2 linked regions of the Stegostoma tigrinum genome follow. The protein of the gene in region 2 purifies or fractionates together with the protein of the main gene of each other region. This does not show direct contact. Links are inferred from orthologs where the notes say so. Each region holds a gene or a part of one and is shown on either strand. Other genes may lie near its edges.

Region 1 (4,356 bases), on a different chromosome or scaffold from region 2:
ATCATCCTCCTCCAATCCTCACTCCCATTTGAGGTCATAGGTCAAAGCAGACCACTTGCTGCTGAACAAAGATGATGGCTGTAAATAATATCAAAAAACAGTCTATTTGCCTAGACTGCAGTTTGCATGGTGGCCTTCTTCACCAGACACTTGTGTGTAATCCAAGCCAATACTTGCAATGCTGTATTGAGGCAGTCCTGCACTGTTGGACAGACTATCCACTTGTCCCCTCAATTGAATGTAAATTATCTGTTGCTTTTTTTTGATTTAATACCATGGGAGTTCTTTCCATTTCTTTCCCCCCACCCAGTATGCTGTTGTCAACTAACCTTCTAAAACCAGATGATCTGGCCATTACTGTATTTTTGTGTGTGGGGTCTTGCTTGTGCAATATGGCTGCTGTGCTTCAGTAGTTCTTCAAAACTTGACAAGTACTTAACTTGTTGGGTAGTGTTTTGGAACATTGGAAATTGTGAAAAGTGACAAATGCAAGTTGTTCTTTCACATTGCTTTCAATCACAATTGCTACAGTGAACGTGGACACTGCCCAGTCCATTATGTCTGCATCAACTCTCCAAAACAGCATTGTGACTTAATGCCATTTTAAAACATTGCACATTGTTTCTATTCTTCTAATGCTCTTTTGAATGCCTTGCTTGAACGTCACTCCTTTGCACTTTCAGGCTCTGCATTCCAGGTTCATCTTTCTCACCATAGCTTAAAGTTCCAAACCTTTTTGAATCTTCCACGCAGTTTTTAATCCTTAATGTCTTTTGCTTGGTACACCTGCTCTTCCTGTTTAATGTCTCGATGCCTTTTCTCTCTGATTACACCCTGGTCCTTGCCTACCTCCTTCTGGGCTTCCCCCTCATGTCAGCGGATCGAGCATATTGTTTCTGGATTCTGCTTCATGGCTCAACATCAAATTTTGTTTTATTGTCTTAATTCTTCTCTTGACCCTGTTCCACATTCCATCCTCTCTCTCCAGATCGCAGCCTCTGTTTATTTACTGATTTGAGATCCTTTTGTTTGAGGTTTACTGAGATGTTTCCTCAAAAAATTATGGCTTTCACAATCTCTCGTGTGGTTTTAGCTGTGGTGCAGCAAGTCCTGACTGAGTCAGAATGTCATGAATTCAAGTCCCACTCTAGATGCTTCAGCACAATGACCAGCCTGATATAACTGTGCAGTTATGCGGTGAAGTGATGGCCTTATAGTATTGTTGCTGGACTGTTAATCCAGTGAGCCAGGTATGTTCTGGGAACTTGGTTTCAAATTCTGCCACAGCAGATGGTGGAATTTGAATTCAACTGAAACAAAGCTAGAATTAAAGGTCTTTTGACCATGAAACAATTATTGGGGTGGGGGGTGAAATAAACCATCTGGTTGATGGTTATCCTTCCCCAAAGGATAATTAATCTACTGTTGATTGCAGGGGGAAAACCCATCTGGTTCACTAATTCCTTTTTGGGAAGGAAACCCCTTTTTACCTACATGGGGCTCCAGACCCACACCAATGTGGTTGACTCTTAACTGACCTCTGGGAATTGGCATTAAGAAAATGTACTAAGGAGCACTGAACTGTCTACACTTCAAAACTTTAGCTGTCAAGCTCTTTGAGCTATTATGAAGGTTACTCTCGAAATCCAAACCTTTCTTTCCAAATGCTTGCCCACCAATCAACTATCGTCACGTCGCGGGCTCCCACAAACAGCAGCCAGTGACCGAGATGAAATGGTTTGATGTTCGCTGATGAGGGGGTAAACATTGGCCCTAGGTGAATGAAAACTGTAACCCAGCGACAATACTGCGGCTTCCTAACTGCTGCCTCGCCGAGCACATGTTGCTAATGACAAAACCCCCTTCACTTTGGTTTTCGAAGCTGCTGCCTACCACATTTTCGTTTGAAAATAAAAGCTCCCCTTTGTTGATGCAGGGCTTTGAGATAAAATCTGCTTTAGCAACTTTTGTTAGGGGAGTGTGTCAATTGTAATGACAGAAATGGCGATGATATGACTATTTGTTTTTGATTTTTGTTCTTTCGGGCCAGTCTGAGAAGAAGCTGGGCTGAGAGTTTCACGCAGAGCAGAGATTTCAGTGGGAGTGGTAGGAGAGACACAGGCGCAGTCTCGCCCTGCAGCGTTGTGTTTAGATTCTCGCTGCCTCATAGCCCTGGAATTCAGGACTCGCCGAGAATTCTGTTTCCGTCCAGGGTTTTTTTTATCCCCCCTTTCCTCTCTCTCGGCTAAAGGTGTAGCGCGTACCCATCAGTCTGCACAAACATTCGTCCCCGCTGATCCGGACAAATGGCCAGTTCACCCCAGAAATCCCCATCCATCCCGAAGTCCCCCGTCCCGAAATCCCCCGGCTCCAGGAAAGAGGATTCCTTCCTGGGTAAACTTGGAGGAACTTTAGCCAGAAGAAAAAAGGCCAAAGAAGGTAATTCTTTCTTCTTTGTTTTTAGAAAAAAAACTTGTTTCATGTAAATTGTTCACGAACGTCCTGAAAATGTTGCCTATTTACTTGAAAGAGAAGTTTGCAACAAGTTTCGAAAACTTTTGCAATTTCAGCTGAAAGTGTTCAACTTGGTTTTGCTTTGTGGCTAACGTAACAGCTTCTAAGGCTGCAATGTGAGTGATTTACTCCCTTCATTAAATACTTCATTGTTTTGCAGCCTAAAAGTGGATTTTTGTTTTGTGGAGTTCACAGTTAAGTTCTGGGCTGGGTGTAGCTGGGCGTCCTGTGGAATGTTTTCCGGTTCAGACTCATTTGGTTGGCAATATAAGTTCTGCGGTTGAACTCGAAAGCATTTTCCGAACACCACCCACCCCCCTCTCGTTATCTCTCTGTGCATTGCACAGTTATTGATCAAACACCAAGGTTAAGACCGCAACTCAGGCGGGAGCTGCTTATCTGCACCTTACAGGGGGCAGGTATGCAGGAGTAAGCTGGATTCCTGTCTGCAGGGAAACCACGCCATGTAACAAAACCAAACCCTAGAGCAATAGAATTTCCACTGGCAATATTACACAGCTGTTGTTATCGTGAATGAAAGAATAATGTGTATTTTTTAAATTTTGAATCTTGACTATCTACATTTGTTGTCGGAAATTTAAAAGACAGTACAGGAAAGCCATTCAACCCCTTTTAAGGCTGTTGAAATCATGTTACAACTGCACAAGACATTGGTAGGGCTACATTTGGAGTACTGCCTACAGTTCTGGTCGCCCTGCTGGAAAGGGTGCAAGCATTTTTTTAAAAGGATGTGACCGATACGGAAGGTTTGACTTACAAGGAGAGGCTGAGTAGGCTGGCTCTGTTTTCTGAGCACCCTTAGAGGCTGAGGGGTGACCTTGTAGAGGTTCATAAAATCACGAGAGGCCTAGATAAGGTGAATAGCCGAGGTCTTTATCCCCAGGTTAGGGGGGGAAAATTAATAGGGACCAGGGGGGCAGCTTTTTCCACACAGGGGGTAGTGCATATATGGAATGAGCTGCTAGAGGAAGTGGTAGAGATGGGTACAATTAGAACATTCAAAAAACATTTGAACAGCTATGTGCATAGGAAAGATTTAGAGGCATACAAGCCAAACAGGGGCAAATGGGACTAGTTCAATTCAGGAAACCTCATCAGCATGGCTGAGTTGGGCCAAAGGGCCTGTTTCAAGGCTGTATGAGCCTATGATTCTAATTGGAGTATGGCTGATCCCACATGCTTAAGTGGAGAAGACTTGTGTGTTAAGTAGTGGTAACTTGAGCCAAATGACTGCTTTTTGCCCTGTGTACTTGCTGTAATTCTTCAATTCCATTAGTCTGTCTTCCTGTCCATGTTCTACCTTTGTGTGAGTTCTCTTCTGCTCAGGATTTGGGTATACTTGACTTTGTACTGAATCCATACAGACCAGGGTGCACAGCATGATCTGCTGTGCCCACTGTTTACACGGCTGGTATGTTAATTGGCACTTCAAGCGGTCGTGCCTCGGCTCAAAAATTCAACAAGTAGAAATATAGTTGGGCTGCGCTGAGAGCGTGTTTCTCACAATACTGTTGTTGTTGTTTGACTGCTGCACAAGTTATGCAAGACCTTTATGAAACCCTGCTTGGGCCCATCCTGGGCTCAATCCGTAATTGTTTGAGAGAGGTAAGTGGTTATAATTTTGGGGGGTCACCACTCTGCATCAAACATGGCTGAACAGAAACCTAACCCACTCTTTACTGCCTACATTTGATTACCAACCTACATGACCATGTCACAAATGGTGTTTCAATGGTCAACAAGGTCAATGGTGGATGTTAACTCTGAGCTTATGGCTCAGACAGATATCACCAACTGACATATAACGCCCTGTCCTCAGCT
Region 2 (4,356 bases):
AAATTTCAAATAAACATTACATTGTAGCAGCTCAGTGCAGGGCTTCCACACGTGGCCTGACCACCTGCAACAGACCTGAGTCGAACAGCTATCCCGCTCTACTCCAAGCCTCCAGTATACTCCATACTGTATTGTCCCAAGGTAAGTTCCAGGACTGCCCCCACCCTGTGCTGGTCTCTGCCTGGGACTCACTGCCCATGCGCTGCCACTGCCCACACACTGCTCCGGGGCTGCTTCCCCCGCTGCTGCTCTGGGCTTGCAGCCCACTTCTGCCAGTGCTCCAGGATTCACCTTCAGGGCTAAGGAGAGAGAAAAAGACAAAGAAAAAAAAAGAGAAAAATCTACAGGCGGAGCAGAGGAGATCTGGCAGGAGCATCTTACTCTGTTGCCATCTTTTTGATTATTACTTTTACAGAGAAATTTGAGGGAGAAGCAGAATATTGGGTTATTGCTGCTGCAGTTGTGATATACCAACTTACTCATTGCAAGTATAACTTTGAAATATCAATGCAGGCACAAAATAGTGATCATCTCGCCACTTAGCTCATAGCATACAATAGAGTGACTGTCATTTTCTGATTCGCTGAGGATTTGATGAATTCTGGTGAGATAATCATCACTTTTCAATCTCTGCAAAGTTAAAATGAGCAGACCAAGTGCACAATTATTTTAAGGTTTCTCACATTTTGAATTTAGAATAAATTTAAAATTAAAATGTGCTTCATACTTACGCCCTTTTATGCCCTTTTGCATTTAAAAATGTTGAAATGGTTTTGGAGTCAAAATTATCAATATTACTGTAGCATTAAACATTCCAGAAACTTATGTTGTGTCGATGCTGCTATGAATATTGACAGTATTGAACTGACATATGGTTGGAAATGTCAGTAGGAATGAGAAAAAGAAGTTTAAAGTAAAGCAAGAGACTGGAGATATTGTAAACCCTATAAAAATCTACAAGTGAACTGACTTGATATTTCCAGCATTCTCTGCTTTAATACAAGATTGTTTATTTGTTCACTATTTCATTACTGCTAGGCTGCTTTTTGAATGGAATATTTTCACACTTAGAAGGAGATACATCTGTGAATTAGTCAAAGCATTCTGATCAATAATCCCACCACACTGCATCAAAGTAACTGCCTATTCCTCCTTCTGCAGAAAACGTGATTTCTGTGTCCTTGCTGATGTTTGTGCTTAAGCTTTGTAAACATTGGCTTCATTTCTGAAAGATTTCTAATCCTGCATCTGTTCCTGCCAAAAATAACCAAGAGCTAAAATTGGAGCTACTTCAAAATATCAGTAGCCATGAAAAAATTGACCTTCGTATATCAAGGAGGTTTCACTGGCAGACAGAAAGGATTTGCCCTGTTGTTTATTGCTGAGGCAGAAGGGAGGCAGCAAGAAGATTTGGGATATTGTACCTTTTCTTACCTTGGTCTCTGAAACGTAACAGTGAAAAAAACAAACATGTGTTCGCCTAGAAAGGTAAGCAATACTTCTTATCTAAAATATCAAGTATTATTTCAATATTTAACCAGCATAAAACTCTTCAGACACGGTTATAATGTAAGCTAAACACCCTTTGTCAGTTTATACTAATGGTTAAAAGTGCTGAAGTTGAACTCTGACATTTGAGTTACTATTTCAGGTCAAAAATAAAATACAGAATGCACCATCAACCTCTCGAAAGATTTTTTTAAAATAATACCTTATAAACCAGTCACAAGTAGAATTGAAAAAGGAACAAACTTGAACTTGCATAACAAATTTCATAATTTCAGGTTATCGCAAAGCATCCCACAGCCAGTGCAGTATTTTCGCACTGTAGCCAGTGCTGTAATGTAGACAAGTGTAACAAGGTGTCACAAATTGCAGTGTGAATAAATAGTCACAGAGTCATAGAGTCACCCAGCACAGAAACAGACCCTTTGGTCCAACCAGTCCACACTGACCATGTTCTGAAATTAAACTAGTTCCACCTGCCTACGCTTAGCTCATTTCCCTTCAAACTTTGCCCATTCATGAACTTATCCAAATGTCTTTTAACTGCAACTGTACCTGCATCCAACTGTTCCTCTAGCAGTTCATTTCCATGTATGACCCACATTTTATGTTAAAAAATTGCTCCTCGTGTTCTTTCTATATCTTACTTCTCTCAGCTTAAAAATCTGTCCCCTGGTTTAGAATTTCCCCATCCTAGGGAAAGAATATCCTTGTCATTCACCTTATCTATGCCCCTCATGATTTTATAAACTTCAATAAGGTCACCCCTCAGCCTCCTATACTTCAATGAAAAAAGTCCCAATCTTTCCAGTCTATTTTTATGTCTCAACTACTCCATTCCTGGAAACATCCTGGTAAATATTTTCTGAACATTCTCCAAGTTAATAATATCATTCCAATGACATGGAGACCAGAACTGTACTTAGTACACCAGAAGAGGCCGCACCAACATCCCGTACAACCTCAACATTATGTCCCAATTCCTCTACTCAAAGGTCTGAGCAATGAAGGCAAACTGCTAAATGCCTTCTTAACCACCCTATCCACATGTGATGCAAATTTCAAAGAACTATGTACCTGAACCCCTATGTCTCTCCGTTCTACAACTCTACCCAAATGTCTGGACAGTCTGTTTTGGTGGTGTTGTTGTGAGATAATATTGTCTGGAACACCTAGGGAACTCTTGTTCTTCTTCAAACAGTGTTATGCGATTGTTTATTTCTACCTGAAAGGATTTTCAGAGTCTCAGATTAAGATCTTATCTGAAGTACAGAAGCTAAGACAATGCAGCTCACACTATACTAAAGTATCAATCAAGATTATGTATTCAAGTGTGACATAAGGCCATGACATACGATGCAGAATGCTACAACAGAAGCAATGCTGACACTTATATGTACTCATAATTACTAGTTCATGGCACAAAGGGAAATGCAGTCACCATTTTGTCTTATTTATTGCTTGTTCCTTTGGTTTGTCATTTGTGTATAAGATCTTTTCATCCCCTACATCGAGGGTGTATTTTATGATCGAGATAGGATATCGCTTACTGATGCCATCAATACCATTGTGTAACATGTTCCACCTAAAAAGTTTTAAACCAACTTCTCCAGGTGGCCATTGAGTCTAGTGTAAGATGACACTCAGTCCAATGACTTGTCTACTGAATCATGGTTAAGTAGAAAACCTTAGGCTAGAATTTTATGGTTCTCACTTCAGGAGTGGGCTAGTGTGAGTGGGGTTGCTGTACATGTAAAAACTATTTATCTGAGCTACGTAAATTCGACTTGTGCTTTGCAAAGTTGAGAAGATAAGCCCACCCTGACATTTTCAGCCAATGGATGAGGCCACAACTTTTGCAGTAAATCCTGGCTATGGTGTTCTACAAAACACAACAGGGTCATATGGCTGTTTTAGAGCTTTTGATGTCTGATTTCTCCACTCATTCTCCATTCTGTTTTCAACTCCATTCATTTATTTTTCAAACATCTCTTTCAAGAGCTCCAATTAAATTCTACACTACCAAACAGTCACTGTCAGCCTTCTCTTCAGTGGGATCTTATAACCACGCTCCTATCTACAACCTCCCAAATCATTCTTAGTATGTTGTTGCCTCAGACTGCTGGTACGCACTGTGCTGCACTGTTATCAATCCTTCAACAGTAACAGCTCAAGTATGACAGATCCTGTAGTAGATGGTGCATGAACGTTGAAAAACAGAAATGTAGCTTCAACAGTAGTCCATTGATATTCAATTATGTAAACACCAGAAACATGGGATTCTCTCAATCTCTTGATAAAGGTACAGTGGATGACCTGTAAATTTATGCTCATTTATGTTGCTCAGGGAATTAGACCTTGCTGAAGTGACAGAGATAAGATTACCATTGTATGGTGTGATTACTGCACTTTCTTTCTGATTTCTAATTCAGTGCAATCATAATATGTATGTTTCAGATCATTAGATTGAGTGCACTTGACAATTACCAGTACATTCTACTTTTTATGCAAATAATTGTGTTGCTGAGTGCTACAAATTCTGAACACATCATATTGTCGTCTAAAATATCTCTCAGTAATGTGTAAGATCCTTTGCATTGTATTTCACATAAACTGTACTTTCGGGAATCTCGGGAAAGTATGTGTTTTCTGTGGAGCTGAGAGAATGTGGGTGTCGTCATTTGATTTTGGGAATTTAGGAAAGCCAATAAATTAAGTAGTGCACACTTACTACTGTCTTGCTCTATTCCAAAAGTCAATTCCCCAGTTCTCTTCTAAAGTATGTGAATCATTTGACAAATGTATTCCTGTACTATGGCATGGCTGATATCACAGCATTCCCATGATTGG

Evidence for each region.
Region 1: the proteins of rsu1 (region 2) and parvaa purify together in Homo sapiens (affinity purification with mass spectrometry; 3 studies listed by BioGRID and IntAct, counting the BioPlex papers as one, with this or other methods). This does not show direct contact. The link is inferred for Stegostoma tigrinum from reciprocal best matches to the Homo sapiens genes RSU1 and PARVA.

Annotation. Positions count from the first base shown.
Region 1 is NC_081370.1:37,379,650-37,384,005, forward strand, and holds the start of parvaa (parvin, alpha a), read left to right. Parts: upstream 1-1,852; 5' UTR 1,853-2,306; coding exon 2,307-2,439; intron 2,440-4,356. UniProt on the Homo sapiens protein: Plays a role in sarcomere organization and in smooth muscle cell contraction. Required for normal development of the embryonic cardiovascular system, and for normal septation of the heart outflow tract.
Region 2 is NC_081355.1:114,645,837-114,650,192, reverse strand, and holds the start of rsu1 (ras suppressor protein 1), read left to right. Parts: upstream 1-1,354; 5' UTR 1,355-1,470; coding exon 1,471-1,488; intron 1,489-4,356. UniProt on the Homo sapiens protein: Potentially plays a role in the Ras signal transduction pathway. Capable of suppressing v-Ras transformation in vitro.